3 linked regions of the Elephas maximus indicus genome follow. The protein of the gene in region 2 interacts with the protein of the main gene of each other region in a pairwise test. Links are inferred from orthologs where the notes say so. Each region holds a gene or a part of one and is shown on either strand. Other genes may lie near its edges.

The links.
Region 1: the proteins of ARAF (region 2) and NELFCD interact in binary tests that used the Homo sapiens proteins (3 or more experiments, as listed by UniProt). The link is inferred for Elephas maximus indicus from reciprocal best matches to the Homo sapiens genes ARAF and NELFCD.
Region 3: the proteins of ARAF (region 2) and TIMM44 interact in binary tests that used the Homo sapiens proteins (3 or more experiments, as listed by UniProt). The link is inferred for Elephas maximus indicus from reciprocal best matches to the Homo sapiens genes ARAF and TIMM44.

What each region holds. Positions count from the first base shown.
Region 1 is NC_064843.1:10,147,352-10,157,351, forward strand, and holds the start of NELFCD (negative elongation factor C/D), read right to left. Parts: upstream 3,634-10,000; 5' UTR 3,593-3,633; coding exon 3,533-3,592; intron 1-3,532. UniProt on the Homo sapiens protein: Essential component of the NELF complex, a complex that negatively regulates the elongation of transcription by RNA polymerase II.
Region 2 is NC_064846.1:124,079,569-124,089,324, forward strand, and holds the start of ARAF (serine/threonine-protein kinase A-Raf), read right to left. Parts: upstream 3,671-9,756; 5' UTR 3,609-3,670; exon of another isoform or gene 3,424-3,608; intron 2,232-3,423; 5' UTR 2,173-2,231; coding exon 2,077-2,172; intron 1,917-2,076; coding exon 1,813-1,916; intron 918-1,812; coding exon 815-917; intron 730-814; coding exon 572-729; intron 460-571; coding exon 361-459; intron 1-360. UniProt on the Homo sapiens protein: Involved in the transduction of mitogenic signals from the cell membrane to the nucleus. May also regulate the TOR signaling cascade. Phosphorylates PFKFB2.
Region 3 is NC_064821.1:12,675,943-12,685,735, forward strand, and holds the start of TIMM44 (mitochondrial import inner membrane translocase subunit TIM44), read right to left. Parts: upstream 3,943-9,793; 5' UTR 3,908-3,942; coding exon 3,863-3,907; intron 1,123-3,862; coding exon 1,018-1,122; intron 1-1,017. UniProt on the Homo sapiens protein: Essential component of the PAM complex, a complex required for the translocation of transit peptide-containing proteins from the inner membrane into the mitochondrial matrix in an ATP-dependent manner.

The sequences.
Region 1 (10,000 bases), on a different chromosome or scaffold from region 2:
TGTCACCCCCCCTCCGCTCATAAACCTAGAATTTACCCCAGGTCTCTCTCCTAAGCTCCAGAATCAAATACTCAACAGTCTGTTCTCAATTCCATTTGAATGTTCTGCTAGTACCCCAAACTCATTAGATCCAAAACCAACATCATCTAGTCCCTGAAAACAGATCTTCTTCCTAGAGTCCCTATTTCAGTAAAGGAGCCCATCGTATACCTGCTACTCCAAATCAGAAACCTGGGCGCCGTCCTTAGTTCTTCCCTCTCCCCACCCCACATCTTGTCACGAACACCCATCAGTTCTCCTTCCCACACATCCACGCACTTTGGCCCCTTCTCCAAATTTGCCTCCACAGATCATCTTCTGCATTTCTGCAGCAGTAGCAACCGTGCCCTAGGGCCTCCAGCCTTCCTTTCAATCTTCTTTCATGGTGATGCCACAGTTATCTTCAGAAGCCACAAATCTGATGCCACTCTTCCTGCTTAAAGTTTCCTATCTCCCTCAGGAAAAAAAAAAATCCTAGCTCTTTACCCTTGTCCTTCCCACTGTTCACCGGTCCAGTGTCATTCTTGCTGCTCCCCATACGCAACCTGCAGCCAGACTGAATTACTTGCATTTCAGTAGCTCTTGGTTTCTGAGCTTAACTTCACAGTAGTCTCTTTATACATCTTCCTGCCTCCAAGAAGCCATCTAACATGGAGTCAACTGCACAGAATTTGACACACGACTGATCTATCACTATCTTTCAAAATCCAGATCATGCCACTCCTTCTCTGTCACCTCCCCTGACACTCTCTTGCTCCTCCAAGCAGTCACGGTTAGAATGAACGTGAACTGAACATCTGGGCCATCCCTCTCATCAATGACAGCCCACTAGGATCACTGAGCCAAATTAGAATCATGATTAAAGTTCTCCACCAGTGGGGCCCAGACCTGGCTCTGCCATTCCCACTTGGGTAAGCTAGGGCAACTAACTTGTCTGTTCAGTCTTTAAAATGAGGGCATTGCTGCCCTGGTGGTGCAGTGGTTAAGAGCCCAGCTGCTAGTCAAAAGGTCATCTATTTGAATCCACCAGCCACTCCTTGGAAATCCTACAGGGCAGTTTTACTCTGTCCTATAGGGTCGCTATGAGTCGGAATCAACTCCACGACAACAGGTTTGGTTTTCTGGGTTTTGGACTAGATGACCCTAAAGACATACCCCAGTTCTAACATTCTATGACCCAAAGGCTCAATGTGACAAGTACTATGATATTTTGAACAGGATATCCCAAACACCAATCCAGCACTAAGACCCTAAGTTTCTCTCATTTGGACCATCTCGGTGGTCAGCAGTGGGTTAAAAGTGGCAATGGAGACAGAGGATCTGGGTTTGGAGCCCCACTCCCCTATTTACGAGTTCTGGGACCTTGGGCAGATAACCAAGTCTTTGTGCCTCACTGTCATCATTTACAAAATGTGCAAAGTGACACCCAACTCCAAACTTGAGGGTGGAGTGAGATAATGCATGAAAGCACCTAGCACAGGCTCGCAATGAGCTAACTCTGACTCTTTACCCACACCACTGTAATCCTCCAACACTGCACAACAATCCAACATGCAAATCCACTTGTGTCGCCCCTGCCCTTAACTTTCCAACATGTCATTTTTCAGCAGCTTTCAGGGGTCCTTCAGAACCTGTTCCCTACCGTACCTCATGCCACTGCCTCCACAAGGCAACTAACCACACAGGACTTTTCAGTTCCAGAAATACACCTCTATCTTTGTACCTTGGCTGTGGTGCCCTCTTCTCACCACCATCCCCTTTCAATGAGGTGAACCCCATTTCATCCTTTCTTCCTTCAACGTATTAGCCCAGTACAGGTAGTCCCCAATTTATGATGGGGTTCTGGTCCAATGGCTCTATCATAAGTCGGTTCTGACATAAATTGAATATTTTATTTTTAAAAAAATTATCATTGCCTTTTATCAGTATCTTTATAAATCCAATCTTTGTCTTTGGGGGTTGGCATGAAAATGACATCACCAAATTACATGCAGCAACACTGTATGTAGTACGTATTACTCATGACAAGATGCACGGTCCTAACTTGAGTACATCATAAGTCAGGGACTACCTGTATTTCCCAAAGGTAACTAATCTTAAACTCATGTGAACAAGGCAAATTCCCAGGCTCCATTCCAGACTGACTGGATCACCGTCTCTAAGTGAGGGGCCCAAGAAGCTTGACACATGGAACTCAGCTGAGTCTTACCATTAGAATAAGGCTGTATGCTTTCCAACCCCTATCTTCAGGGGATGGTGACCCTGGTGGCACAATGGTTAAGCATTTGGCTGCTAACCAAAAGGTTAGTGGTTCGAACCCACTCAGTGGCTCTGAGGAAGATAATACCTGGTGATCTGCTCCCGTAAAAATTATAGTCTAGAAAACCCCACGGCCTGGCTCTACTTTATCATCCGGGGCCACTATGAGTGTATGAGTGGAATCTACTGGAGGGCACCCAACAACATATTCAGGGAAGAGCAGACCGGTTGCTGCCCTGTTCTCACACCAAACCCTGGAAGGCCACTGCTGGAAGAGCCTTTCAAAGCCATTTAGCCCAAAGTATAAATTAAATCTGCCCCAAACCCTGAAAAGCTTATAGTTCACAAACAGTAACACACATGTAAAAGTACCCAAAGCCGTTGCCGTGGAGTCGATGCTCACTCATAGCAACCCTACAGGACAGAATAAAACTGCCCTAGAGGGTTTCCACGGAGCGGCTGGTGGATTCGAACTGCCAACCTTTTGGTATCCAGCCAAGCTTTTAACCACTGCACCACCAGGGCTCCAAGAGTGCCCAAAGCTCTACTTTTCCCACATGATGCTGACTTGGAGTTTTCTGAAAGAGTAAATTATTTTAAGAACCTCTGCGGTTCTGGAGACCCTGGTGGTACAGTGGTTAAGAGCGGCATGCTAGGCTGCGAACCCAAAGGTCAGCAGTTCAGATCCACCAGCCACACTTTGGAAACCCTATGGAGCACCTCCACTCCGTCCTTTAGGGTCGCTATGAGTCGGAATCCACTCGACGGCAACGGGTTTGGTTCCGTGCAGCTCCCAGCCTAACCGTCCGGAGTTTGTAGCCTAGCCGCCTTGGGGGCTAGAAGTGCGCGGGCCCCAGGTGAGTGGTCAATAGGTCAGGTCATGTCCCCATGAGTAACCAGCACCTCTCCAGTCAGAGACCCAGACCCTCACCGGGCGCGGGAAACTGAGGCACCAACGGTCAGGGACCTCCCGGGCCTCCTCGGCAAGCCAGGGTGGGTCCCATTTGGTCCCCCATCCCTATAGTAAAGTGAGGGAACGAAGGGCCCTTGGGCGGACAGCGGCGTGCGGGGGGCAGCCGGACCAATTCGGCCGGAGGGGGTGTGAGTAGGGGGTGTGGTCGGGGCCGCGGTCTCCCGGGCGGGGCAGGTTGTGCTTGAACCACTCGGTGAGCACGCGGGCCGACCCGCCGGCGACGGAGACCGGAAGTCCTCGTCGGGGGGTGCCCCCCCTCACCTGGCCGCCGTCCGCCTCGTCGCCCCACTCGGCCGCGTTTCCGAAGTAGTCCTCATCCATGATGGCTCCCGGCGCGGCCCCCGCCACCCTCTTCGCGAGCGAGCACGGCGCATGCGCGCGCGCGGGGCGGACGGACTGCGCAAGCGCGGCCTGCGTCCCCGCCCACCGCAGCCGCGCGCCAGGCTCTAGGCGGAGGGGGTGGGGTCAGTGAGCTTCCGTCCGGACCTAGGGCTACCGGTCACTTGTGGCTCCACGTGCTCAGGCTGGCTTGGGGCGGGGCACGGGATAAGGGGACGTCCGAATGGAACCTGACGGGGTTCCAGGAACTTTGGCTCCAGTAGAAGTTTAGAACTAAGCTCAGTCTGGCGTGGGTTCACTCCCAGCTCTGCCCCTTCTTCACTGCGCCTTTGGCCAGTCCTATGTGTCCTCGACAGCAACGGGTTTGGTTTTTTGGTTTTGACCCTTGCAACGGCAGTTTTGTCGTCTGACTACTAGGGACAGCAAGCGCAGGGCCATTATCCTTCCAGTATCAAAATCCATTGCAGGGGAGTCAATTCCGACTCATAGGGACCCTATAGGACAGAGTAGAACTGCCCCATACGGTTTCCTAGGCTGTAATCTAGGCAGATCGCTAGGTCTTTCTCCTGTGGAACCGTTGGTTGGTTCAAATTGCTGACTTTTCTGGGTAGGCAAGAGCTGCGAGGGCTCTTCCTGTCACGTGTAGAGCCCACGAAAATATTTTAATTTTTTATAAAATCGGAAGAAAAAACGAGTAATATAATAATCTACCATAGACTGTGTAAATATAATTGGTATGAGGATATCAACAAGTCATAAAATACAGTTTTTTTTATAATGGAAGAAAGGCCTACAAGGCAAAAGGGCCTAAAAAAAAAAAAAAAAACCAAGCCATTTGGCCCTGGAGTGGATCCCATGTGTCAGAAAGAGTAGAAAGCTCCATAAAGTTTTCTTGGCTGTAAGCTTTATAGGAGGGGCCTTGGTGACGCAGTGGCTAAGCCCTCTGCTGCTAACTGAAAGCTTGGCAGTTCAAACCCAGCCAGCTGCTCCAAGGGAAGAAGACCTGGTGATTTGCTCCCATAAAGCTTACAGCCTAGAAAACCCTATGGCGCAGTTCTACTCTGTGACTATATTTAGGGAAGCAGATCATGAGGCCTTCACTGAGTGGGTTCACACCACCAATCTATAGGTTAGTAGTGGAGCGCTTAACCGTCTGTGACACCCTGTTGTTGCTGTTAGGTGCCGTCAAGTCGGTTCCGACTCAGTGATCGTATGTACAACAGAACGAAACACTCCCCGGTCCTGTGCCATCCTTACAATCGTTTTGCTTGAGCCCATTGTTGCAGCCCCTGTGTCAATCCACCTCATTGAGGGTCTTCCTCTTTTCTGCTGACCCTGTACTTTACTAAGCATGATGTCCTTCTCCAGGGACTGATCCCTCCTGACAACATGTCCAAAGTATGTGTCTTAGTCTAGTGCTGCCATAACAGAAATACCATAAGTGGATGGCTTTAACAAAGAGAAATTTATTCTCTCACAGTGAAGTTGGTTAAAAGTCCAAATTCAAGGTGTCACCTCCTGGGGGAGGCTTTCTTTCTCTGTCGGCTCTGGAGGAACGTCCTTGTCCTCAATCTTCCCATGGTAGAGGAGATTTTCAGGCACAGGGACCCCAGGTCCAAAGGATATGCTCTGCTCCTGGTGCTGCTTTCTTGGTGGTATGAGGTCCCCAACTCACTGCTTGCTTCCCTTTCCTTTTATGTCCTGAAAGATAAAAGGTGGTGCAGGCCCCAGCCCGGGGAAACTCCCTTTACCTTGGATCAGGGAGGTGACCTGAGTAAGGGTGGTGTTACAATCCCACCTTAATCCTCTCAACATAAAATTACAATCACAAAATGGAGAACAACCACACATGACCTAACCAAGTTGATACACAGATTTGGGTGGGGGGAGGGGCACATAATCTATGACATTCCTCCTGGAGGTCCCCCAAAAATCACATTCTTGCAGCATGCAAAACATACTCATCTCATATCATAGCAAAAGTCTTAGTTCCAAGTCGAAAATCTGAAAATTCATCTTCATCTGTAAAATCTGGAATACAAATCATCTGCTTCCAAAATACAAGGAACAAGCTAGACATTTCTATTACAAATGGGAGAAACTGGAGGAAAGAAGGGATAACAAGCACCAAGCAAGTCAGCAGAACACATTACATTAGCCCTCAAAGCTTTGAAAGTAATCCTCCGTTCTCTGACACAATTTACACAATAACCCTGCCCTCCAGCCTCTAGGTATTGGCCACAGTCTCTGGATTCTGAGTGGAGGCCTCTTGGCCCTGTGCTTCAGCTCTGCCTTCCAGGCACACTGGGACAGCAACTCTGCTGCCCCGGCTTTAGGCACACCATTCTCCTAGTCCATCTGAGTGGCAACTCCACCCTTAGAAACACCGGAGGCCATGGCTCCACCCTTTGAAACCCCTGAGGTCATGGCCATACCTTTTGAGACTGAGACAGCTCAGCTTCTTGTGTTCCTTGTCTCTTGAGCTTCTGTTTCCTGGTTTCTTGGCTTCTCCGCTCTTTGGGCCTCACACCCACATCTGCTCTGCTGGGGCAAGTGTTCCAAAGCTTAGTAGCTCCACCAGTAAGTGCCCGGAGGCACCCCACTCTGCCGGAAAGCCTCCTGCGCACAGGCACTCAGCTCTCTCACTTCAGTTCCTGATCATATGCAACCTTTTGAAATGGTTGAACACCGACTAATTCTTTTTGGTATTGTGACTCTGTGTATTCCTTCCAACTTCTCTTGATACTTCTTGTGTCATTTAATATTTTCCCTGTAGAATCCTTCGCTATTGCAACTCAAGGCTTGAATTTTTTCTTCAGTTCTTTCAGCTTGAGAAACGCCGAACTTCTTCCCTTTTGGTTTTCTATCTCCAGCTCTTTGTGCGTGTCAGTATAATACTTACTTTGTCTTCTCGAGCCACCCTTTGAAATCTTCTGTTCAGTTCTTTTACTTCATCGTTTCTTCCTTTTGCTTTTTAGCTGCTGAACGTTCGTGAGCAAGTTTCAGAGTCTCCTCTGCCATCCATCTTGGTCTTTTCTTTCTTTCCTGTCTTTTCAGCAACCTCTTGCTTTCTTCATGTATGATGTGCTTGATGTCATTCCACAGCTCATCTGGTCTTCGGTCCCTAGTGTTCAACACGTCAAATCTGTTCTTCAGACGGTCTCTAAATTCAGGTGGGATATACTCAAGGTCATATTTTGGCTCTCGTGGACTTTCTCTGATTTTCTTCAGTTTCAGCTTGAACTTGCTTATGAGCAATTGATGGCCTGTTCCACAGTTGGCCCCTGGCCTTGTTCTGACTGATGATATCAAGCTTTTCCATCATCTGTTCCCACAGATGTAGTCGATTTGATTCCTATGTGTTCAATCTGGTGAGGTCCATGTGTATAGGCACCATTTATGTTAGTGAAAAAAGGTATTTGCAATGAAGAAGCCATTGGTCTTGCAAAATTCTATCATTCGATCACCAGCATTGTTTCTGTCACCAAGGCCATATTTTCCAACTACCCATCTTTCTTCTTTGTTTCCAACTTGCACATTCCAACCACCAGTAATTATCAATGCATCCTGATTGCATGTTCGATCAGTTTCATACTGCAGAAACTGATAAAAATCTTCAATGTCTTCATCTTTGGCCTTAGTGGTTGGTGTGTAAATTTGAATAATAGTCGTATTAATATTATCCTATCACTGACAGCTTTGTACTTCAGGATAGATCTTGAAATGTTCTTTTTGACGATGAATGCAACACCATCCTCTTCAAGTTGTTATTCCCGGCGTAGTAGACTATATGATTATCCAATTCAAGATGGCCAATGCCAGTCCATTTCAGCTCACTAATGCCTAGGATATCAATGTTTATGTGTTCCATATCATTTTTGATGATTTCCAATTTTCTTAGATTCATACTCCATACATTCCCCGTTCCAATTATTAATGGTTGTTTGCAGCTGTTTCTTCTTTTTTTGAGTCGTGCCACATCAGCAAATGAAGGTCTCAAAAGCTTTACTCCATCCATGTCATTAAGGTCAACTCTACTTTGAGGCAGTGGCTCTTCCCCAGTCATCTTTTGAGTGCCTTCCAACTTGGGGAGCTCATCTTCCAGCACTATATCAGACAATGCTCCACTGCTATCCATAGGGTTTTCACTGGCTAATTCTTTTCAGAAGTAGGCTGCTGGGTACTTCTTCCTAGTCTGTCTTAGTCTGGAAGCTCAGCTGAAACTTGTCCTTCATGGGTGACCCTGCTGGTATCTGAATACCGGTGGCATAGCTTCCAGCATCACAGCAACATGCAAGCCCCCACAGTACGACGAACTAACAGACAGGTGGGGGTGCCACCCTAGGTCCCACAAAAGTCATAACACAGTCCTGGAAGAGAGGACCTGCTTCTTCGTAGGAGGTCTGTGAAAAGACAAAAGAGATGATGCTTTTAAAGCCCTCAGCACAGTTCCTACACGTAGTAAACCCAAAACCAAACCCATTGCCATGGAGTCAATTCCAACTCATAGTGACCCTATAGGACAGAGTAAAACTGCCCCATAGGGTTTCCAAGGAGTGGCTGGTTAATTTGAACTGCTGACCTTTTGGTTAGCAGCCAAGCTCTTAACCACTCTGCCACCAGGGTTCCAAGTAGTAGGGGGGTCAAAAACTCATAGCCGCCAGGATGCTCAGGGAGAGTTTTTGAGCAGGGAGGCCAACAGCATCAGATGTGCATGCTTTGACAGGTGAAGCCACGGCAGCAAGGAATGGGCTTCAGAGAGGAGCCCTAAAACATTGATCATAGCAACCATTTGTGAGGGCTTCTCTGTGCTTTCCTGCATTCCTCCCCTTGTTCCTTCATCAAGTGTTTATTGAGAGTCCCCTAGGTGCTGGCACTGTTCTGCCCACTGGAACTCAGTGGTGAGAAAACTGGACACGGTCCTTGCCCTGGTGGAACCGACAATCTACCGATGGAGATGAATGGGAAACAAACCGACAAAATAATGACAGATGGTGACCAGTGCTAGTATTCTGGGCTAGCAGGAGAGAAATGGTCAATGTGCTCAGCTGTTAACCGAGATATTGGCAGTTTGAGTCCACCCAAAGGTGCCTCAGAAGAAATTCCTGATGATCCACTTCTGAAAACTTGGCCCTTGAAAACCCTATGAAGCAGAGTTCTACTGTGACATGTGGGGTCTCCATGAGTCAGAACTGACTCAACGGCAACCAGTAGTTGGTTGGCTACTTGGGGCAGTCAGAGAAGGCCTCTCTGGGAACTACATTTGATCTGAGGTCTACACAGTGAAAGAGACTCAAGCAAGCTAGGGCCAAGGAGAGAGTATTTTTAGGAGGGGAGCTGCCAGGGAAAAGGCTTGGTGTATGTCCTTGGAACAGAAAGGCACTGGCACCTGCTGGGGCAGCAAGAAGCTTGGTTGAGCTGGGAGAGGCAGGCGGGGCCAGATGGTGGGGAGGAAGGATTTAGCACAATAACTGTGTAAAGCACCAAGCATTCATGTAGTGAAAAAACCAAACTGAGCCCATTGCTGTTGAGTAGATTCCGATTCATAGTGACCCTATAGGGCAGGCTAGAACTGCGCCATAGGATTTCCTGGATGGTAATCTTTATGATTCCAACTCATAGCCACCCTACAGGGCAGGCTAGAACAGCACCATGGGCTTTCCTAGATTGTAATCTTTACGGAAGCAGATAGCCAGGCCTTTCTCCCCCAGAGTGGCTGGGTGGGTTCGAACTGCCGACCTTTCGGCTGGTTATCAGCCAACTGCTTAACCACTGTGCCACCAGGGCTCCTTGCACATAGTAGGTGCTCAGTAAGTATTAGTTATTAGAACGGCAATGAAGCATTTGGTTTGCTTGCTTTAAGGGGATGACAGGATCATACATGGATTATTTGAAGCTGCTTCTCTTCCCATAGGTGACACAGGAGGCCTGACAGAGGAGAGCTAGGAGCCAGGAACGCAAGTTCAGGGGCCTCGGTGAGAGTTCACGGGGGCTGGAAAGGGGCTGTGAGATTGGGGTCAAGTCTGCAGGATGTGGCGGCCTTGGGGGGAAGGTACTGCTGAGACTTTCAGCCTGCAAACCTAGGTGTCTGAGTCAACTAGGCCTGCCATAACAAAAAATACCACGAGTAGTGGCTTTAAAGAACAAAATTTATTTTCTCACACTTCTGGAGGCTGTGAGTCCAAATCTGAGTCTTGGCTGTGTCAATTCCTTCTGTGGCCCTCTCTCCTAGTTTCTGGCATTTGCCAGCAATCCTTGGTGCTCCTTTGCTTGCAGACCTGTTCTGACACAGCCTTTGTCTTCTCCTAGGTGTGCATCTCTGTGTCTGACCTGCTTTTTATGAGACACCACTCAGAAGGGATTAGGCTTAGGACTCACTGTGCTCAGGTA
Region 2 (9,756 bases):
CGGTTACACTGGAAGAATTAACAAAGCAGTTAGATTATTAAATATATTTATAATCAATAAGAAACAGTGATTATTTACTTGGTGCCAGATCCTGTTCTAAGCACTGGACACGTCTTAACTTATCTAATCCTCATCATGACCCTATGTGGTAGAAAGTTATCATTATCTCCTCTTTACAGATGAGAAAACTGAGGCCCAGAGAGATAAGGTGACTTACCCAAGGCCCCTTAATCACTCTGCTTCCATTTGTAGGTGCTCAAAAAATATCAAATAAAGAAATGAATAAAGTATGGCTTGTGGTCTATTGGGGCCCCCAGATCTTTTTCTCCCAACAGCAGCCCTTCACTTAAGGTTCCCTACCTGGGACCCAGGGGGGTTAGCAGCTCATTCAGGGGATGGTTAGAGGGAGCCTCGTGCTGTCTGGAGACTGCTGACAAATCCTGGACACTGTGGTAGAAACTTGAGGGTGAAAGGGGTATAGAGAGAGGGGACACAGGTCAGCTGTCTACAAGGGCCTTGTCGCTGGGCTTCTGTTCTCCCCATCCCCCCACCCACCCCAGGCCAGGCTCACTGTCGGCGGTTGGTGCTCATGTCGACACAGACTGTGGGGACCTTGGAGGAACAATGCTGATGGAATTTGTAGCCGCAGGTTTGGCAGCGGAAGCCATGGAACAGAAACTTAAGACAGAAGTCACAGAATACCAGGCTGAAGAACGTCTTCCGCACCTGCTGCCACAGAGCAGGAGAAGTTGAGTCCTGGTGAAGGACCCTCCCCCCTCCCATGGCCTGTTTCTACTATCCGCCCTGCACTCACAAAATTGTGCATGGTCAGTGGGACATCTTCAAGGACTTCGACAATGAGCTCCTCGCCATCCAGGGGGGCAATGGCAGTGTCCCAGGCAGTGACCGTCTTTCGCCTGCAAAGGGCACAGAAGGAAATGAGTGGGAGGGTAGACAAGAATCATGGAACCCCCTAAAAGTCCTTCCAAGCCTGCTATCCACAGAGTAATATCTGCCAAGTTTAATTCTCAACACAGCAACCCTAGGAACCAGTTACTATTCTTGCCCCCATTTTAGAAATGGAGAAACCGAGGCCCAGAGGGGTAAAGTAACTTGCCCAAGGTCACAAGGGTAGTGAAGTGGTGAATAAATAACTCAATATTAGAAGTATTGAGCAAGCCCTGAAAAGTGGCTAATGAGACATGAACCAACAAAAAACAATGTGTAGATGAAAGAAATTAGGGAGCCCCAGAACAAAGGACTTAATGGTCCAAGGCTCAATTCAACAGGCAGAGAGTGGGGAAACTGTAGAAAGAGAGCTAAAAAATTACTCAAATAGTGAAAGGACAAAACAGATGAACTCCTCTGGGAGGAGGCGATGGGGCATGGTGAGGACTTGGGTCAAGGAGTGAATGAGTTGCAGACCTTACAAGGCAGCAAGCTAATGAAGTAACAAAAGACGGATGAACTCACGAATTAACTGAACTAACGGAAGACTCAGGATCCCTGGTGGTGCAAACAGTTAAGCACTCGGCTGCTAACTGAAAGGTTGGCAGTTTGAACCCACCCAGTAGCTCCGAGGGAGAAAGACCTGGTGATTTGCTTTTGTAAAGGTGAGAGCCAAGAAAACCCTAGGGGGCAGTTCTACTCTGTGACATGGGGTTGCTATGAGGACTCTACTTGATGGTAACTAACAACAACAATGGAAGACGAAAGAAAGAATATGGAAGACTCAATGGCAGAGAAAAGGAGTCAGATGACTCTGAGGAGGGCATGGAGGCTGGGCACCCAGTGGGTGGGGGCCACACCTACCCCTTGATGAGTCGGTAGACCACGCAGCAGTCTTGATTGAGACCCCGCACCTTAAGGGCCTTGTCTAGAGAGTCGTAGACACTCATACCATCCCGGACGGTCACCTGTGTGTGCATATGTGGGGCCCTCAGTGCCCAACAGGGGCCCCAGTAGGCTCCCCCACCTCTCCACAAAGGCCTCCTCCCACCTTTATCACCCTCCCGTCCCAGACTTACAACTGGGTCCATCCCTAATCCCTGTCAGTTTTGCCCCTCAGGGACTCACCACCGTGCGCTGCTTGTTGGGCAGGTAGACTTTGACGGTACCCACTGCCCGGGATGGCTCAGCCCCGTTGGCAGGGGGGGCCCGTGGCAGCTCCATGGAGCCTAGGACTTTGTCAAGAAGGGCTGAGGTGGGGCTGGGCAGGTTCCATGGGGCTCCTAGGAGAAGAGAGAGGAGGAATTTAGAAATCCAATAGTAGTACTCTGGAAGCAAAGTGGCAGGGTACGAAATAAAATCCAGTCTCCAGGCTCCATGTTGCCCCTTGTAGCCTAATTTCCACACAGCAGCCCATGAGATCCTGTTATCACCTGAAGCTGAGCCAGGATCCAGTCGCTCCTCTGCTCAGACCCTCCTATCACTTGTCTCCCTCCAGAGCACCGAGGTCTCAGATTCACTGCAGGAGTGGAGGTGGGGGTGGGAAGGCAGCACACACTGTCCCGGAGGGTACAGGAGTGCACACAATACTCTGTGACTCTCTGCTGGGGCCTAATGTCAGTATGCACTGCACTAGGGATTTTAGGTACATAATGGACACAAACAGACTCTGTTCTAGCTTTTAATGAGAGGGAATTACCAGATATTGTGGTGCGGGAAGAGTCACGAACACTGTGATGGGGGATGGAGGATCGTGAGATATTGCTCTTAGTTGGGGGAAATGGGGGCTGCACCAAACAGTGTTCTTAAAGGGCCTGGAGTGTAATGTTGATGGTAGGATCACAGACACAATGTTAGGGGGATAATGGGAGTCACTAGGCTATGCGATGGGGAGTCACCAGACACTATGCTGGAGATATAATAGGGGTCACTAGGGACTGTCATGGGCAGAAGGGTGGAAAATGGAAGTCACCTGACATTGGGCCAAATGGGTATGGGGTAATGGTGGATCACCAGACATTGTCATGAGGAAAAGGCAAAAGAGGGTAATCATGCATCAACAGACATTGTCGTGGTGAGATAAACAGGGAGTAAGGTGGAGGGGGGACTCCAACAGTCCCCCTGACAACTAATGAGGGGTCCCAGACGTATTAGTGAAGTGAAAAGGGATAATGGAAGGAAGCTGGGGAGGGCTAAGAAGGGGTAATGGAGAAATTCCCATTCTCTTAATGGGTCAGGTATTGATCCAGAATATGGAAAGGGAGTAATGTGCCGTATCTCCACGCACTCTGTGGAGAACGTAAGGACGGGTTATCAGACACCTCAGTTGGGTTAAGAAAGAATCACGAGCTCCCTAAACCACAGCCCAGGCCCGAATCGGCCGGGCCCCGCCTACCGGAAGCTTCCCGGTTCTGCGCAGACACCCTGCCACTCGCGGCGGGCGAAACCATCACCAGCCTTCTAGTCCGCCTATTCTGTCTACCCACCCCTCACCCCGCTGACGACGATGGTTTCGCCCCGGGGCGAACCACTCCTCCGGTTCCGGACGGGGGGCGCTGGGGCCCAGGCGCAGCCATCCTGGAACTGAGCTTTCGGTCCAGACTCCCTGCCTGTGCCTGAGAGCCGCTCCAGAAATGTAGCCTTGCGGGGTCCACCCTCACCTGTCACGCCGCTACGGCCTCCACCGCCTCCATCTTGGGCCTGTCTTCTCTCCTCCTTACAGGGTCCGCCTCCGCGCCCCCCCCCTTGGGCCTTCACCATTGGCTTCACGGGACTCAGCCCTCCATTCTTATTGGATTGCAGGCACGCCCATTAAGGTAGGACGGGCCGAATGAGGCTGTCTGAGACGTCAGGGTCTGGGGCAAATTCGTACGGTCTCATTCGCGCAGGCGCAGTCGGGGCGAGGCTTGCGCTCCATGAGCTTTAACCCCAATTGTGCCGTGACGGAATAAAGCAGGGCTTTTTTTTTTTTTTTTTGGGTCGCTTTCAAGGGTGACCTTAGCAGTTTCGGAATCTGGGCGGGGAATCCTTAAGCGCCCTCGTCGGTCAGTGACCAAGAGCCCTAAGCATATAGAATAGCTAACCAGTGCCATGAAGTTCATTCCGATTCATTGCGACCCCACAGGGTTTCCAAGGCTTGTAATCCTCTAGGAAAGTCGACTGCCACATCTTTCTCCAGCGGAGCCACTAGTGGTTTTGAACTGCCGGCCTTTTGGTTAGCAGTCTACCGTTTTAACCGCTACACTACCAGGGCTCCTTATAGAATAACTGCTCAGAATAAATGTTAAGTTTTTAATTATTTTTAACACCTGTGTCTCAGTTTTCCGGCTTTGAAATGGATTAAATCTGACCAAAGCATCCTCAGTGTTTTCCAGCTCTTGGAGCCTGTAGTCATAGCCTTGGATAACAGCAAGTCTCAGGTGTGGCGGAAGCTGGGGCATTGGATTTAAGAGGGGCGGTGAGCTGTTTTGGAAGGCGTCCTTTATGAACTACTGCAATGTTTATACAAAGACTTGTACTCAAATGTTCTAATTAGCTTTATTCATAATAGCAAAAAACTGGAAACAGTCCAGGTGTCCAACAATTTAAGAATTGAAGAAGAAACACAGCAATGGGATACTACTCAGCAATGGAAGATAATAATATATGGAACAGCATAGATGAAATCTCATAAGGTTGAATAAAAGAAGCCAGACTCAAAGGAGAAATGCTGTATTATACCATTTGTATGAAATTATAAACCAGGTAAAACTAATCTATAGTGAAGGAAAGCCAATTAGTGGTTGTCTTGTGGGGAGCGGGATTGACTGGGAAGGGCAGAAGGGAAGTTTTGGAAGTGAATGGAATGTTCTGTCAATGAGTTTGTCAGAACTCTTTGAACGCTACATTAAAAATGGGTGCATTTTATTGTATGCAAAGTATAACTCAAAATCCATTGCCATTGAGTCCATTCCGCCTCCATAGTGACCCTATAGGACAGAACAGAATGGCTCCACAGGGTTTTCGAGACTGTAATCTTTACCGAGGCAGCCTGCCACATCTTTCTCTCCAGCAGAGATGCTGGTGGGTTTGAACCTCCGACCTTTCTGTCAGTATCCCTGGCAAGTGGAATGACTTCGGAGGTGTAGGGTAATGCTATTCAGCTGTATGCATCCTCTCCCTAATGGAATCAGCTTTGCTCTTCCCCGAAGCATGCTGGGGATGAATTCGGTATGGATTTCGGCTAAGGTACAAGGCCGGGAGTGGCATGACTGGGCCAGCAGCCAAGGCTGAGGAATGCCTTAGCAACAGGAAGGAAAACATCTGGGCCTGGACGTGAAGTCCCTGGGAACACTGACTGCCCAAGGACATGGGAGAAAACGATGAGCCTTGGTCCCAGCTGAAATGGTATATAAGCTTGGGTCCCTTGCTAGGTGGTTGCGGAAAATACTCCAGCCGGCCACTACTGGAGAGCAGCTGCTTGCCCATGTCAGTAAGTTTCCTTGAATGCATGAATCTGGGGTGGGGGGGTGGGGGTGGCTATGTGTCAGTTCCTCAGATTATCTGCCAGGTCGCACAGTGAGGGTCTTTCCTTGCTGGGGCTGTCGCCCGACAGCAAGCATCTCTTAAGTCCCTGGGAGAGAAAAGAGTACTGGTCTTGCACTGCTTGCTCAGGAGTGTTACTAAGGTGCCCACTGGAGCTCCTGCGTTGGGAGGTGCAGATGATGTGGGGTCCGGGGATTCAACTTCAGAAAAGAGGAGAATTGTTTTTATTCTCTAGCCAATAAGAATTTGTAAGAAATCAAAATGTTAAAAATTGGTTGTTTGAAACCATTTTTCCATGCATTTTTATTGAGATATGATACCCACGCGGGGTCAGGAACTCATCTTGTTGGACCTCACTGAGGGGCTCCAAAGTGCTCGCCGGGAGGAAGAATAATTTCAGGAGTGAGTTTTAAATTTCAATTCATTTAAGTATTTAATTTGTTTTAAAACTCTAATTTATAGGCAGTGTTTGAAAACAGACTTCTGGCTCCATTGCCTAACGTTTACAAAAGGAAGCGCAAAACCCCTTGGTGCAAGTTTACTGCACAGGAGCTGGCGGTGGGGAAGCAAGGGGCGGGTGCAGCCCACTCCTGGGCAAGCAGTGCAAGGCCACCACTGTTTTTTCTCCCAGGGACTCATAGATGCCTTTGAACTCATTCCACCTGCCCTGACTTCGGCCAAGACGAAGGATTTTTAAGTGATTTGGGTTTTTCGCATCATCATCAGCACCACATTAAAACTATCAGAAGCACCATGTATTAAAACAAAAATTAAAGCCTGAACTAGCTGATTATGGTTTTCTGACATCCCCCTTTGAATTATCCACCTAGAAAATTTAAAGGCTTTTCAACTTGAGGGTTTTTATTATTGTCATTAATTTTAAATTCTCAGTAACATGTCTTTGAAAAGACTAAAAAATCTTAAGTGTTCACCGATTGCTGTTGTAATGCTACCCATTTTACAGTTGAGAAAACTGAGGTTCAGGCTGCCCTTACGGGAGGGACAGAGGGGAGAAAGCTCTAGGAATTTAAGCTTGAGAAAAAGTGCTTAACAGGGTGCAGGCAGGGCCGGGAGACCTCCTTAAGGCATCTTACAGCCACTCCAAGAGTCCTGAGTATCTCCCCTAAAAAATGCCACACTTTTTCCAATGCCAACCCCTGCTGCTGCTTGGAGAATGCCATCTCTGAAACCCCAGCGCACCGCCTCACTCTCAACCACCCATTTCGGGGGAGATAACCTTGCAGATGGCGCCAGAGCGGGCGGTTTTTCGTTCCGTTGTACATAGGGTCGCTACTCGACGGCACCTAAGAACAACCACCTCGCAAAACCATTTCTCTGAGGCAGAAACAGTGACTTAGATGACTGCCCCACAGGCCTGCACAGCTTCCTCAACAACCAGCTCCCCCGGGCTGACGCAGCGGCCTGCGAGGATGCACACTCCTCTCAGGCCCCCGACAGGCAGTGATATCACCCAATGGCAGTGCAGTGGAAGGCGGGCTTTGGGAAGCCGCGGGCATTGATAGGACCTGCCTCAGCTGAGAAAAGCGTCATGACAGACCTACAGTATGCACAGGTGGGCTTTGGGCGACCTCAGACAGTGAGAGGTGATGCAGCCCTGAGAACTGCTACAAACAAGCAGGTTAATGTCTTTAAATTGGTGGGAATGCAACTGTAATTGTAATTAAAGCTTTAATAAAGGCAGAGTATGGAAGTTCCCACTTCCGGTTATTTATTCCCTGAAGAGAATTTTAACATACAACCCTGGGGTCAGAAGTATGGGAAAGGTACAAGTAAGTGTGCTTAAAGATTATGTTTCTTTACTTTTCCTTATTAAAAATCCTTTCCTAACAAAATTCATAGGGCAGTAATTTGAACACTTCCATTTTTTCATAAAATTAAACCTGCTCTTTTGCAGGTTTGTATATTTTTACGAGTGGGTGAAAAACAATTAAACCAAATAACATTCCTTGAGTAATCTTGTTATTGTATGTTGTATACAGAGTTGTTGTAAGATTCTGTGAGCTATTCCATATCAAACATGACACAGTGCCTGAAGCATAGTGATTGTGCAGTAGTTGTTAGCGATTCCTGTTATCACTACCAGCACCATTCATATTATTTAAGTATCAGGGCAAAGATCTATGTTGTTTGGCAGAGCTTATTGCATAATTCAAGTTAAAGGACATTTACAGGATTACATGAGATTGAATTATTCAGGCCAGAAGGCTCAGTCCCAGCATTGACATGTTTTAGCAGTTCCGGTGGCCTACAGGTACCTAGCTCAGCCAGTGCTATGGCTTTGAAAAGCTCTGCTACTTCCCTTTTCCTTTCTTGTAAAAGAATCAAAGATGCCCTTTAGCAGGTTGATTAAATTCCCTTCTATTCCTGGTTTGCTAAGACTTTTCATCAAAAATGGGTGTTAGATTTTGTGAAATGGTTTTCTGCATCTATTGGAATGATCGCATGGTTTTTCTTCTTGAGTTATCGTGGACTACACTGATTAATTTTCAAATGTTAATCATGCATTCCTGGTATGAACCCCACTTTCTCATTATGTAATACCTTTTAATATATTGTAAAATTTGATTTGCCAAAATTTTCTTTAGAATTACTGTATCTATATTACTGTAAGGTGGAGGGGGAGAGCTTGCACTCGGGAGGAGGAAGAGACAGGAGGTGGTGACAGTCCTCAATAAGATGGTCCCTAACTTGGTAATTAAATGATAAGCCAAGGAAATGGTCTCTACAGGGGTCCCTGACTTGGCAGTTAAACATTAACGGGGGAGATAGGAGAAAAAGGGTATAAAACCCTAAGAAAACGACTGTCAGGTCACTCGGACACTTCCTCTATCTGAGTAGCCCGCTTGACGCTCCCTAGCCAAGTGTACTTTCGCTACTAACCCCCTGCTAGCTAATAAACCTCTGCTCGCTTGGCACTATTTGTCTCAGTGTTTGAATTCTTTCCTACACTGAAGACAAGAACCAAGGCTATTCTCCGGTAACATCTTCTGGTGCCATGACTTGGACTGAAAACTTCCTCCTCCTTTGTCCAGAAAGTGGTGAGTCCACCTAAAAGCTCGGGCTCTCTTTTTTTCCTTTCCAGCCCTGCGCTGACGTACCCCTACCCCTACCTGTGTGTGTGTTTTGTTTCTTCTTAGTCTGACTATTAACAAGAAGATGGTCTGACTATTAACAAGAAGATGGTAATAACGAGTGTCTGACTCTTTCCGACTCCGAAGAAAAGAGGCGCTTCCTCCAGTTTGTGGAGGTGTCTGAGTCAAACCCAAAATGTGCAGCGGCCTCACAGGAACTTCCGACTTCACTTAATTAACAACCAGGCTCCTCCGGGGATGCACACATAAGGGTTGGCCACCCAGCACTCTGAGCCCCCCGGATTGTCTTAGACAACCGGGAGAGAAACCGAGACACGTAAGAGAAGTGTCGGCCGACTAGAGGGGTCACACCCTCTAGGAGTCCTGCTCACAAAGGAGCACATTTTCGGCCCAGAACATTTGACCTCCAACAATAGTCATGTCAAGTCGGTGAGTCTCTTTAAGAAACCAGTCACCCATCTGCCTTTTGCACCTCTCAGCCCCATCCAACTTCTAAAGATACTTGCATCTATATCCTCCATGTGTGCTTTGCAAAAGGGATCAGTGCTGTATTGGTAATAGGCTAAGGGATAATTGTTCCGGCGAAAGCCCTTTCTCCCTTTCCTGTTTATACCGCCATTGTGAAGCTAAACACAGGCGGCCTTTCCTTGATCAGCTCCTTCTGCTTTTATATTATAAAAGAATGAATAGGGACACACTGGGCTGCCTCATTGAATCAAGAATCTTAAGGTTATTCATTAGACTAACTAAAGTTGTATCTATTACCCCCCTTACAAAGAACCTGAATGTCCGAGAGTATACAAAGAAGTGGGCTGCAGGAGTCTACTTTATGACAGCCCTCCATGCCCTGATTCCCTCTTTCAGCGTGCAGGAACAATTCGTAAAGTATACAGAGAGGGGCAGACATGAGGAACAGATTTGTTGGTTCTGCAGAGAAAAAGAAGGGAGGGGCCCAAAGAGTAATAAGATTATCCCCTCTTGGGTATGGACAGAAGAGGGGCTCCCACAAATGCTAAATCATCTCCTACACCCAGTTTCAAGAGACCCTCAGGATTATGCGATGTGTCAGGGGGCAAGGCAATCAAGGGGTCAGCTTCAATGGATAACAAAGTTTGCCAATGAAGTGAAGACTTCCCAGACAGAGGCACAAAGGACCTCCACCCTAAAATGG
Region 3 (9,793 bases), on a different chromosome or scaffold from region 2:
GACTGTCAGAGTTGTGTCACGGGAAGTGGCCACGAGTGGTCGGCTCCTCTCAACATTTCCATGGGCGCACCCCCAGAAGCAGCAGTTGCGGTCACTCTGCTGGCTTCAGGAGCAATGAACTCTCAATGTTTGTCAAGTCACAAGGGCAAGGTGTACCCTCAGCCTGGGTGCTGCATTCCAGGAGGGGCAGCCAGGCCTGGGGCCAGCAGGCCACGGTCCCATTCAGATGCTCTGCTTAGCTGGGCTGTGAGACCATCTGGGGGTCCGCCACCTTGCATCAGCCCTACCATGTCCTCTGGGACTGCAGATCTTGGGTGTGGGGGAACTGGACAACTCAGGCAAACGATTCCATGCCCACAAGCACCCCAGAACTGGACCTGAGGATAATGCCTGTGTGAAGCAGGTACAAGAAGCAGTTGTCTGAGGTGAAGTTGGTAAGGGCGAGACTCTGGGTGCACGAAGAGGGGGAGGAGGGTGTGAGTGGCCCAAGCACGGTGCAGGGCTCTAAGCTTCCCTCCTCAAGGTGGCAAGACACAAGCAGAAGCTCAGTTGACCGGGAGAGACCAGGAGTGCAAAAACTCTAGAAAATGGTACTTGGGAGGAAGACTGAGGGGATGGGACAGGTGTAGCCTGGGGAACCCAAGCCTAGGGAACAATGGGGTGACCGTTCAAATGCCTAAAAGGCTACTATCACAGGAAAAGGGAAGAGCCTTGCTTGGTGAGGGACCCACGGGGAGAAGCCTAAGGGAAGTGGACTTCCGTTCAACATAGGGATGGCGTTTCTAGCCATTAGAGCTGACACCAGGTGCTACTTTGTGAGGGAGGAGTGCCTTGTCCCTAAAGATGTCCAGCAAGAGTTGGTTGACTGCTTCCCAAGCCGGTGGGCTCTGTAACCAGAAGGCCTTGGTTGTGGAACGCCTGCCATGTCCCTCCATGTCCCTACCCTCTTCCTGCCAACAAAGTCTGGCTTTTCAGATCTCCCCTACCGTCGGCTTGCTCGCGGTCCGAGCCACTCACCAGGGGCAGCTCTCTACCTGGTCGGCACATCTGATAAGTCGAACCGTAGGGCAGAGGGACTAGGTTGTGGCTGGCAAGAAACTGGACTCCATTCCCGAGGCATCTCTGATTGGGGAGAAAAGAGAAAGATCCATTAAAACAAGAAGGTAACCGGAAGGTAAGTGTGCCATATAAAAAAAGCCAAGGGTTGCCTGAGGCCTATTCCCCGATTTCTACCACATGCCTGCCCCACGCTGAATACCCTTCAGTCTTCCTACTGTCTGCGAAGCCCGTGGAATCTGCCAGAAAGAGAAAATACTGCATCCTCGGCTCCTGGGGTTATATCTACCCTCTTGCCTCTGATCCTGGGGGAAAATGGATAGGTCCCAGGAAATGCCAACCTATGGGGGAAGACGGCTATATGTTGTTTGCTGTCATTACGTGGCGTAGTGGTTAAGAGCTCAGCTGTTAATCAAAAGGCCAGCAGTTTGAATCCACCAACTGCTCCTTGGAAACCTCATGGGGCAGTTCTTCTGTCCTATAGGGTCGCTACAAAAATTTGGTTTTTTCAGTTGTTGGTTGCCATCAAGTTGGCTTCGACTCATGGCAACCCTATGTACAACAGAACAAAATGTTGCCTGGTCCTGTGCCATCTTCATAATCTTTGACATGCTTCAGCCCATTATTGCAGCCACTGTGCATTTCGAGTGCCATCCAATCTAGGGGGCTTGTTGTCTAGTGCTATATTAGATGATGTTAGGTTGTGACCCATAGGGTTTTCATTGGCTGGTTTTTGGAAGCAGAATGCCAGGCCTTTCTTCCTAGTCTGTCTTAGTCTGGAAGATCTGCTAAAACCAGTTCACCATGGATGACCCTGCTGCTATCTGAAATACGGGCAGCATAGCTTCCAGCACCCTAGCAACACACAGGCCACTACAATAGGACAAGCTGACAGATGGGTGGTGGAGGCTAAACATGCCAGCCCTGGCAGTGCAATGGTTAAGTGCTCAGCTGCTAATCTACAGGTTGGCGGTTTGAACCCACCAGCAGCTCCATGGGAGAAAAGATGTGGCAGTCTGCTTCTGTAAACGTTACAGCTTTAGAAACCCTATGGGGTAGTTCTACTCTGTCCTGTAAGATGGCTATGAGTCGGAATCAACTCAACCACAATGGGTTTGGGTTTCGTTTTAATCCCGCAGTCTGAAAAAGGGCACACTGAGCCTTGATGCTGGCGGCTGGCAGTGTTCTCTCACAGAAGTCGTGGGCTTTCAGAGGCAAACACTGATAAAGCAGCATCCCAGGCACAGTGCTGGAAGAAACCCACAATGCCCTGGTCAAGGGTTGAGCCACAAGCAAGGTATCACAGGGGAGTCACGCTAGGCAAAGACCCAGCAACCTCATGTGAAAGGCATTTTTTTGTAGGACCTGGGGGTCCTGCTCAATGCTGCACCCTATCACCCAGCATGGTGCCTAGTACACTGGCGTCAAACGACCTGACAGAACCACTCTTCCATTTGCACAGTGGGTGGCGCAACGGTTAAGCACTCAGCTGCTATCTGAAAGGTTGATGGTTTGAACCCACCCAGCAGCTCCACAGGAGAAAGACCTCGTGATTTGCTCTGGTAAAAATGACAGCCCAGAAAAACCCTATGGGTAGTTCTACTCTGTCGCATGGGGTTACAATGAGTCAAAACAGACTCGACAGCACCTAACTACAAGAGGACCCTTCCTCTCCATATTTCCTGCCTCCTAGCTCTGGGAACCCCCAGGAACGTGCCAAACCACTATCTCCTATAGTTACTCGAGAGAGTCACTCTTGGGAGTTTAAATACAGTGAAATCTGTGACAGCCGAAATCTGTTTGGACTGCTTGGTTTTTTCCGGGTCTTGCAAGTTTTCTGCCTTTGACAGAGTGCAGCTCTACCACTTTGCTATAGCTCGTTTTAGTGGAAAATACTTGAATTTTCCTTCTCTGGCAGGTTTCCACCTTACACAGGTTCTGGCTTTTGCAGGTTTTACTGTAACTTGCTGTATTTCTCAATATCTCTACACCCACAGACCCCAGAGCCACTGTCTTTGGCCACCGTCCAAAACATACGTGGATGGCTGTCTAATATGGGAGATAAGTCTGAGGCTGGTCCCCCCTAGGTCTTGTGACCAAATCCAAACACATGTAAATTTAACCTCTAAACCTTGACTCAAAAGACAAATGGCCAAGAAAAAAAAAAAAATCAGTTCTGAGTCAAAGAAACCTTGTTTTTCCCCACACTTGGAAGCCTACAAGTTTTAACAGTTTGGCTCTGGAGTCAGACTGACTTGGGCTTTGGACCAGGTCAGCCATCCGCTAGCTGTGGGCCTGTGAACAGGTTGCTTAACCTGTCTGGGTTTCCAGTTTCCTGCAGCATTAACATGAAGTGCTATTTTCTAACTGAGCTCTCCACACCCTGAGTCCCACCGCCCTAGGAACTCAAGAGCCCAAGCTCTGGGCCAAGGCGAGAACCGCCTTCCACACTTCCACTTGAGGATTACGAGAGGCTCGGCAGGAAATGCTCTTGGTAGCGGATCTGGCATATATACGCAAGACATGATTGTCACTTTGGCTTCCCCTCGCTACTTCTTCTCAACAGGCAGCAGCCACCCCGAGCACGTGGGGGTATGTGCAGGAGGTGAGGGGCGATTCGCTCGGTCCTCGCGCTCAGGCCTAGCTCCGGGCTCCCTAACCCGGCCTCGGCTGACCCAACCGCAAGCCTCTCGCTCGAACCAAGGGAAGGGCCGCGGAGGCCAAGGACAAGAGGAGAAGGAGCCCTTGGAGGCCGCGGACCCTGAGCCCCTAGGCACCCGCCCCGCCTGCCCGCACGTCCGCTCACCCGCGGGCAGCGGCACCAGCCTCGCCGCAGCGCCGCCGCCGCCATGTTGGAAGAGCCCGTGTGACCTTCTCGCGGCGAGGCCTTATGGCGTCATCCATGGCGCCCGCCGGGGGGGGGGTCTCAGACAGGGAGAGGACTCTGATTGGACGTGACTCCACAGAGGGGCAGGGCCTTGAGGAGGGGGGTCTGTGATAGGACAGGGCTGCGGGGGCGTACCCAGCGGGACTGCTAGGGGGCGGGGTACGGTGGAGGGCAGGGTTTCGGAAGAACAGGGCCTGTGACTGGATGTGGCCCCAGAGGGCGGGCACTCCTAATGAGGCTGAGACCTGTGATTGGGCGAGAGTAAGAGGAGGGGTGGCCTGGGACGTGGAATCAGTCGGGAGCGGTGAATCTTTTGCAGATTGCGCAGGGTTCTGGCAGTCAGAGGGACAGGGAGACGGACTGACCGACAACCAGGACGGACACAGCTGGATTCTGACTGACAGACCGGCGGACCAGCCCGACAGAGACTGACTCTGGCTCTCACTGACAGTGACAGTGACTCCCAGAGAGTGACCGACAGACCGATAACGCTGACTGCCTCACTGACGGTGACCGACAATGACTGACGGATGGCTGACTACTGACTGAATGACTGCCTGCCAGCGACTGACTCAACGACTGGCTAGCTCGACTGACGATGACTGAGAGGCTCTGACTGAATGACTGACAGAGGACTGGTCCCGACTGACCGCCTGCCTGCCTATGACTGCCTGACTTATGGCTACCTAGGGTAATGATGACTGACAGGCTGACTGGTTGACTCTGACCTTGTCTTCCAGTGACTGACTGACTGAAGGACTGATGCAGACAGACTGCCTGCCTGTGACTGACTCAGTGACCACTGACTAGTCTGGCACACAGCCACCACCCATCTGCCTGTGAAGGCTTGTGTGTTACTATGGTCCTGAACAGGTTTCAGTGGAGCTTCCAGATTAAGGTGGACTAGGAAGAAAGGCCTGGCAATTGATTTCCAAAAATCAGCCCCTGAAAACCCTATGGGTCACAACGGTCCAATCCGGTTTTGCATGGGGTCACCATGAGTCAGGGGCTGACTTGATGGTAGCTAACAACAACGGAAACCCTGGTGGCATAGTGGTTAAGTGCTATGGCTGCTAACCAAAGGGTCAGCAGTTTGAATCCAGCAGCCACTCCTTGGAAACTCTATGGGGCAGTTCTACTCTGTCCTATAGGTCGCTATGGGTCGGAATCGACTCAACAGCGCTGGGTTTTGTTTTGTTTTGTTTTTAACAACAATAACAACAGACTGATAATGACTGACATGCCAACTGACTGATTCTGACTCTCCCTTCCCCGTTACTGTCTGACTGACTGAAGGACTGACCCTGACATCAACTAAGGCTTCTGGCTGACTCTTGACTGAAGTGATGGAATCTGACTGACTGTCCAACTGACCGGCTCTGACCCTATTTGTCTGACTGACTGAAAGACTGGTCTCAACCGACTCCTACTGACTCTGGCTCTCATTGGCCCCTGCCTGACTCTGCCTGAAGGGCTGACTGGTTGACTAGACTGACTGACACTGATGATGGATTCCGACTGATGGACATGATAATAACTGACAGAAGTGGCCTAATCTAGAGCATCAAGCTCTTCCGGAAGGTGCCCTGGCGGATGAGTGAGCACAAGCCACAGGAAGTATCTTGCACAGCACTTTGGGAAGAATCTTGGTTGAAGCCCGAAACTGGAGGTGGAAGCTGAGACTAGGCTGGGAGTGGACCACTCCTCCATCAATTCTGTGTGAATTGATACAACCTGCCTTGACGCAGCTCAGGTCTTTGTTATTTCCGCACTTGGGACACTTTTCCATTTGGAGAATGTGGCCACCAAGTGGCAGTACTTTGACATGGCTGGGCAATCTGAGTTTCACAAGGTTCATGCAAGGGGCCTGGCCCCGTGGGGGAGTTAATGTATGTTGCATTTGCCATATTGTTGAAGGCTTTTGCATTATAAAATTGTAATGTGGGCTTATGGGACTGTTCATTGAAGAAAGGCATCTTGGCACCGGGGAACTTACACTTTGTGGTTTCATAGTCACACCTGCATTCTCTGGACCTCAGGATCTCCTCCTTGAGATGGGAGTAGGGAGTGATGGCTTCCACTCTGGCTTTGTTTGAGGTGTCTGTGGAACCTCCAAGAAGAGAAAATTGGTTAAGCCATTGGGATGCACAGGTTTGCAGCTGAGACGTGGGCTAGGCATCAGACTTCTTGGTTGTAGTTGAAACCATAGTGTTAGACGAGGGCACCTTAGGGAGAGTGTGTTGAAGGAGTATACCAAAAACCCAAAGATGAGGTAGAGGAAGAAGGGCCCTTAAAGGAGATTGGGTAGGACAGGCCAAGAGGTAGGAAGAGGGCCTGGAGGTACTCTGAGAAGGTGGGAGGATTAAGCAATGCTGAATGCTACAAAAAGGTCAGCCTAGGCAAGGACAGAGCTGTATCCATTGTCCCTTGCGTTTTGTAACATGGAGGTCCCTAGTAAAAGGAGTGATGCCCTGGTGGTGCAGTGGTTAAGAGCTCACCTGCTAACCAAAAGGTTGGCAGTTCGAATCCACCAGCTGCTCCTTGGAGACCCTATGAGGCAGTTCTACTCTGTCCTATAGGGTTGTTACGAGTTGGAATTGACTTGATGGAAAAAAAAATTTTTTTTCAGTAACACGAGCAAAAAGGGTTTTGGCTGAATGGTGGAGGTGAAAGCCAGATTTCGGTGGGTTGAGATTTTTACAGAGGTGTGTTGGAGCCAGCTTCTACCAGTTTACAAGAGCCAGTTGTCAAATCTTCAAGAATTTTGTGAGCCAGCTGCTAAACACAGCCATTACAAAACCAAAGCTAATTACATAAACATGATCAAATCTATCACCGTCTGTCAGTTTGTCACGCTGTGGTGACTTGGGTGTTGCTATGATGCTAGAAGCTATGCCACCAGTATTTCAAATACCAGCAGGGTCACCAATGGTGGACAAGTTTCAGCGGAGTTTCCAGACTGAAATAGAGGCTGGTGATCTACTTCCGAAAATCAGCCAATGAAAACCCTATGGATCACAACAGAGCATTATCCGATAGAGTGCTAGATGATGAGCCCCCTACGTTGGAAGGCGCTCAAAATACACAGTGGTTATAACGAACTCGAGCATACCAACGATCCTAAAGGTGGTGCAGGACCAGGCAACATCTTATCATTATACACAAGGTTGCTATGAGTCAGAGCCAACTTGATGGCAACTAAAAACAACAATGATCAAATGTTGTTGTTAGGAGCTGTCAAGTCAGTTCCAACTCATAGTGACCCTATGTACCACAGAACAAAACACTGTCTGGTCCTGCGCAATCATTGTTATGCTTGAGCCCATTATCGCAGCCACTGTGTCAATCCATCTTGTTGAGGGTCTTCCTCTTTTTTGATGACCCTGTACTTTACCGAGGATGATGTCCTTCTCCAGGGACTGATCCCTCCTGACACCCTGTCCAACGTATGTTAGATGTAGTCTTGCCATCCTTGCATCTAAGGAGCATTCTGGTTGTACTTCTTCCAGGACAGACTTGTTCGTTCTTCTGGCAGTCCATGGTGTACTCAATATTCTTCACCAACACCACGATTCAAAGGCGTCAGCTCTTCTTTGGTCTTTCTTATTCATTGTCCAGCTTTTACACGCATATAATGAGGTTGAAAATACCATGGCTTGGGTCAGGCGCACCTTAGTCTTCAAGGTGACATCTTTGCTCTTCAACACTTTGAAGAGGTCCTTTGCAGCAGATTTACCCAATGCAACGCGTCTTTTGATTTCATGACTGCTGCTCCCATGGCTGTTGATTGTGGATCCAAGTAAAATGAAATCCTTGACAACTTCAGTCTTTTCTCCGTTTATCATGATGTTGCTCATTGGTCCTTTTGCGAGGACTTTTGTTTTCTTTATGTTGAGGTGTAATCCATACTGAAGGTTGTGGTCTTTGATCTTCATCAGTAAGTGCTTGAAGTCCTCTTCACTTTCAGCAAGCAAGGTTGTGTCCTCTGCATGATGCAGGTTGTTAATCCTGATGCCCCTTTATTCTTCATATAGTCCAGCTTCAAATAGGTTATATTAAAAACAAAGGCAAATACCCGGAAATCATCACTTCCTAATGATTTTGTGCTCTTGAGGTTATTCACATCTGTCACATCTGTATGGTGAGAATACTGAATCAGGATGAGCTATGACACGTTTCTTCCCAATCCCACCTTCAGTGATGTCATGTTGGTAGCTTGCAATTGGGCACGGTGGGAGTGTTTACACCATGGGAATCGGCAGATATTACAAATCAGGGCCTTCTGGCTTGGTTAGTCGGTTGGTTTAGAGAGCCAATTTTTCAACACTTAACCAGCACAGCACTGGTTGAGAACATAGGCATAGTAAGTGTAGATGCCTATGAGGAAACTTGGCGGGCATGGAGGGTGAGATGATGACAACTGGAGGAACATCTGGGAGGGGGTGAGGGTGCTTTCGTTTTCCCAGCTTTTTAATTTTGAAACATGTCAAAGCTACAAAAAAGTCGCAAGAATAATAAAGTGAACACCCGTATACCCTTCGCCTAGATTGATTTTGCCACACGTGCTTTACCTCTCTTCCTGTGTATATGTATTGTGTGTATATATATAAAAAAAAACCAAAAACCAAACCCAGTGCCGTCGAGTTGATTCCGACTCACAGCGACCCTATAGGACAGAGTAGAATTGCCCCATAGAGTTTCAAAGGAGCGTCTGGCAGATTCGAACTGCCATTCCTTTGGTTAGCACCAGTAGCACTTAACCACTATGCCACCAGGGTTTCCTGTATATATATATATATATTTTGCTAAACCATTTGTTATGTGGACGTCATTACATGTCACCCTTGAATACTTAAGCACGTATCTCCTAAGGCCTTCACCACAACGCCGTTAGTGCACCAAGACTTTCATTAACAAGAATTGAATAAAATTCAATAAAATAAGACTCTATTATTAGACTCTCCTCAATTTCCTCATCGTAGCTTAAAAAAAAAAAAAATCTAGGATCCAATCAAGTTTCACTCGTTACATATGATTGTAACGTCTCCTTTAATCTAGAAAAGTCCCCTGACTTTTTTTTTCTTTCATGACTTTGACAGTTTCGAAGGCCTGTTGTCTTATAAAAATGTCCCACTAATATGATGAATGTAATCACTGCCACTGAGTTAATAGTACACATAAAAAATGTTGAAATGGTAAATGTTTTGTTAGATATATTTTTTATCACGATAAAAAAAAAAGGCCCCCATTTTGACTTGGACTGATTGATTCATCATGATTTGGTTCCAATATCTGTCGAGACCGTTCTGTCAGTGCCATGCACTTCCCACAACAGAAGCGTCTCCCGCTAGGCGCCATGCTAAGTTTGATGGCTTGGTGTTGAGGGTTTGATTGTTTTTAACGGGATGATTCAACACCATGATTCAAATGAATCAATTCTTCTTCCATCTTCCTTATTCATTGTCCAGCTTTCAAATGCATATGAGGCAGTTGAAAACAGGATGGCTTGGGTCAGGTGCACTTTAGTCCTCAAAGTGACATTTTTGATTTTGGACACTTGAAAGAGATCTTTTGCAGCACATTCGTCTAATGCAATATGTCGTTCGATTTCGGGACTGCTGCTTCCATGGGTGTTGACTGTAGATCCAAGTAAAATGAAATTCTTGACAACTTTTGTATTTTCTCCGTTTATCGTGGTGCTGCTTATTGGTCCAGTTGTGAGGATTTTTGTTTTCTTTATGTTGAGGTACGATCCATACTGAAGGCTGTAGTCTTTGATCTTCATCATTAAGGAAGCCCCTTATTAAGTAACTTTCCCAAGCGAGTCAGGGAAACTCCCTTCTGTGTCTC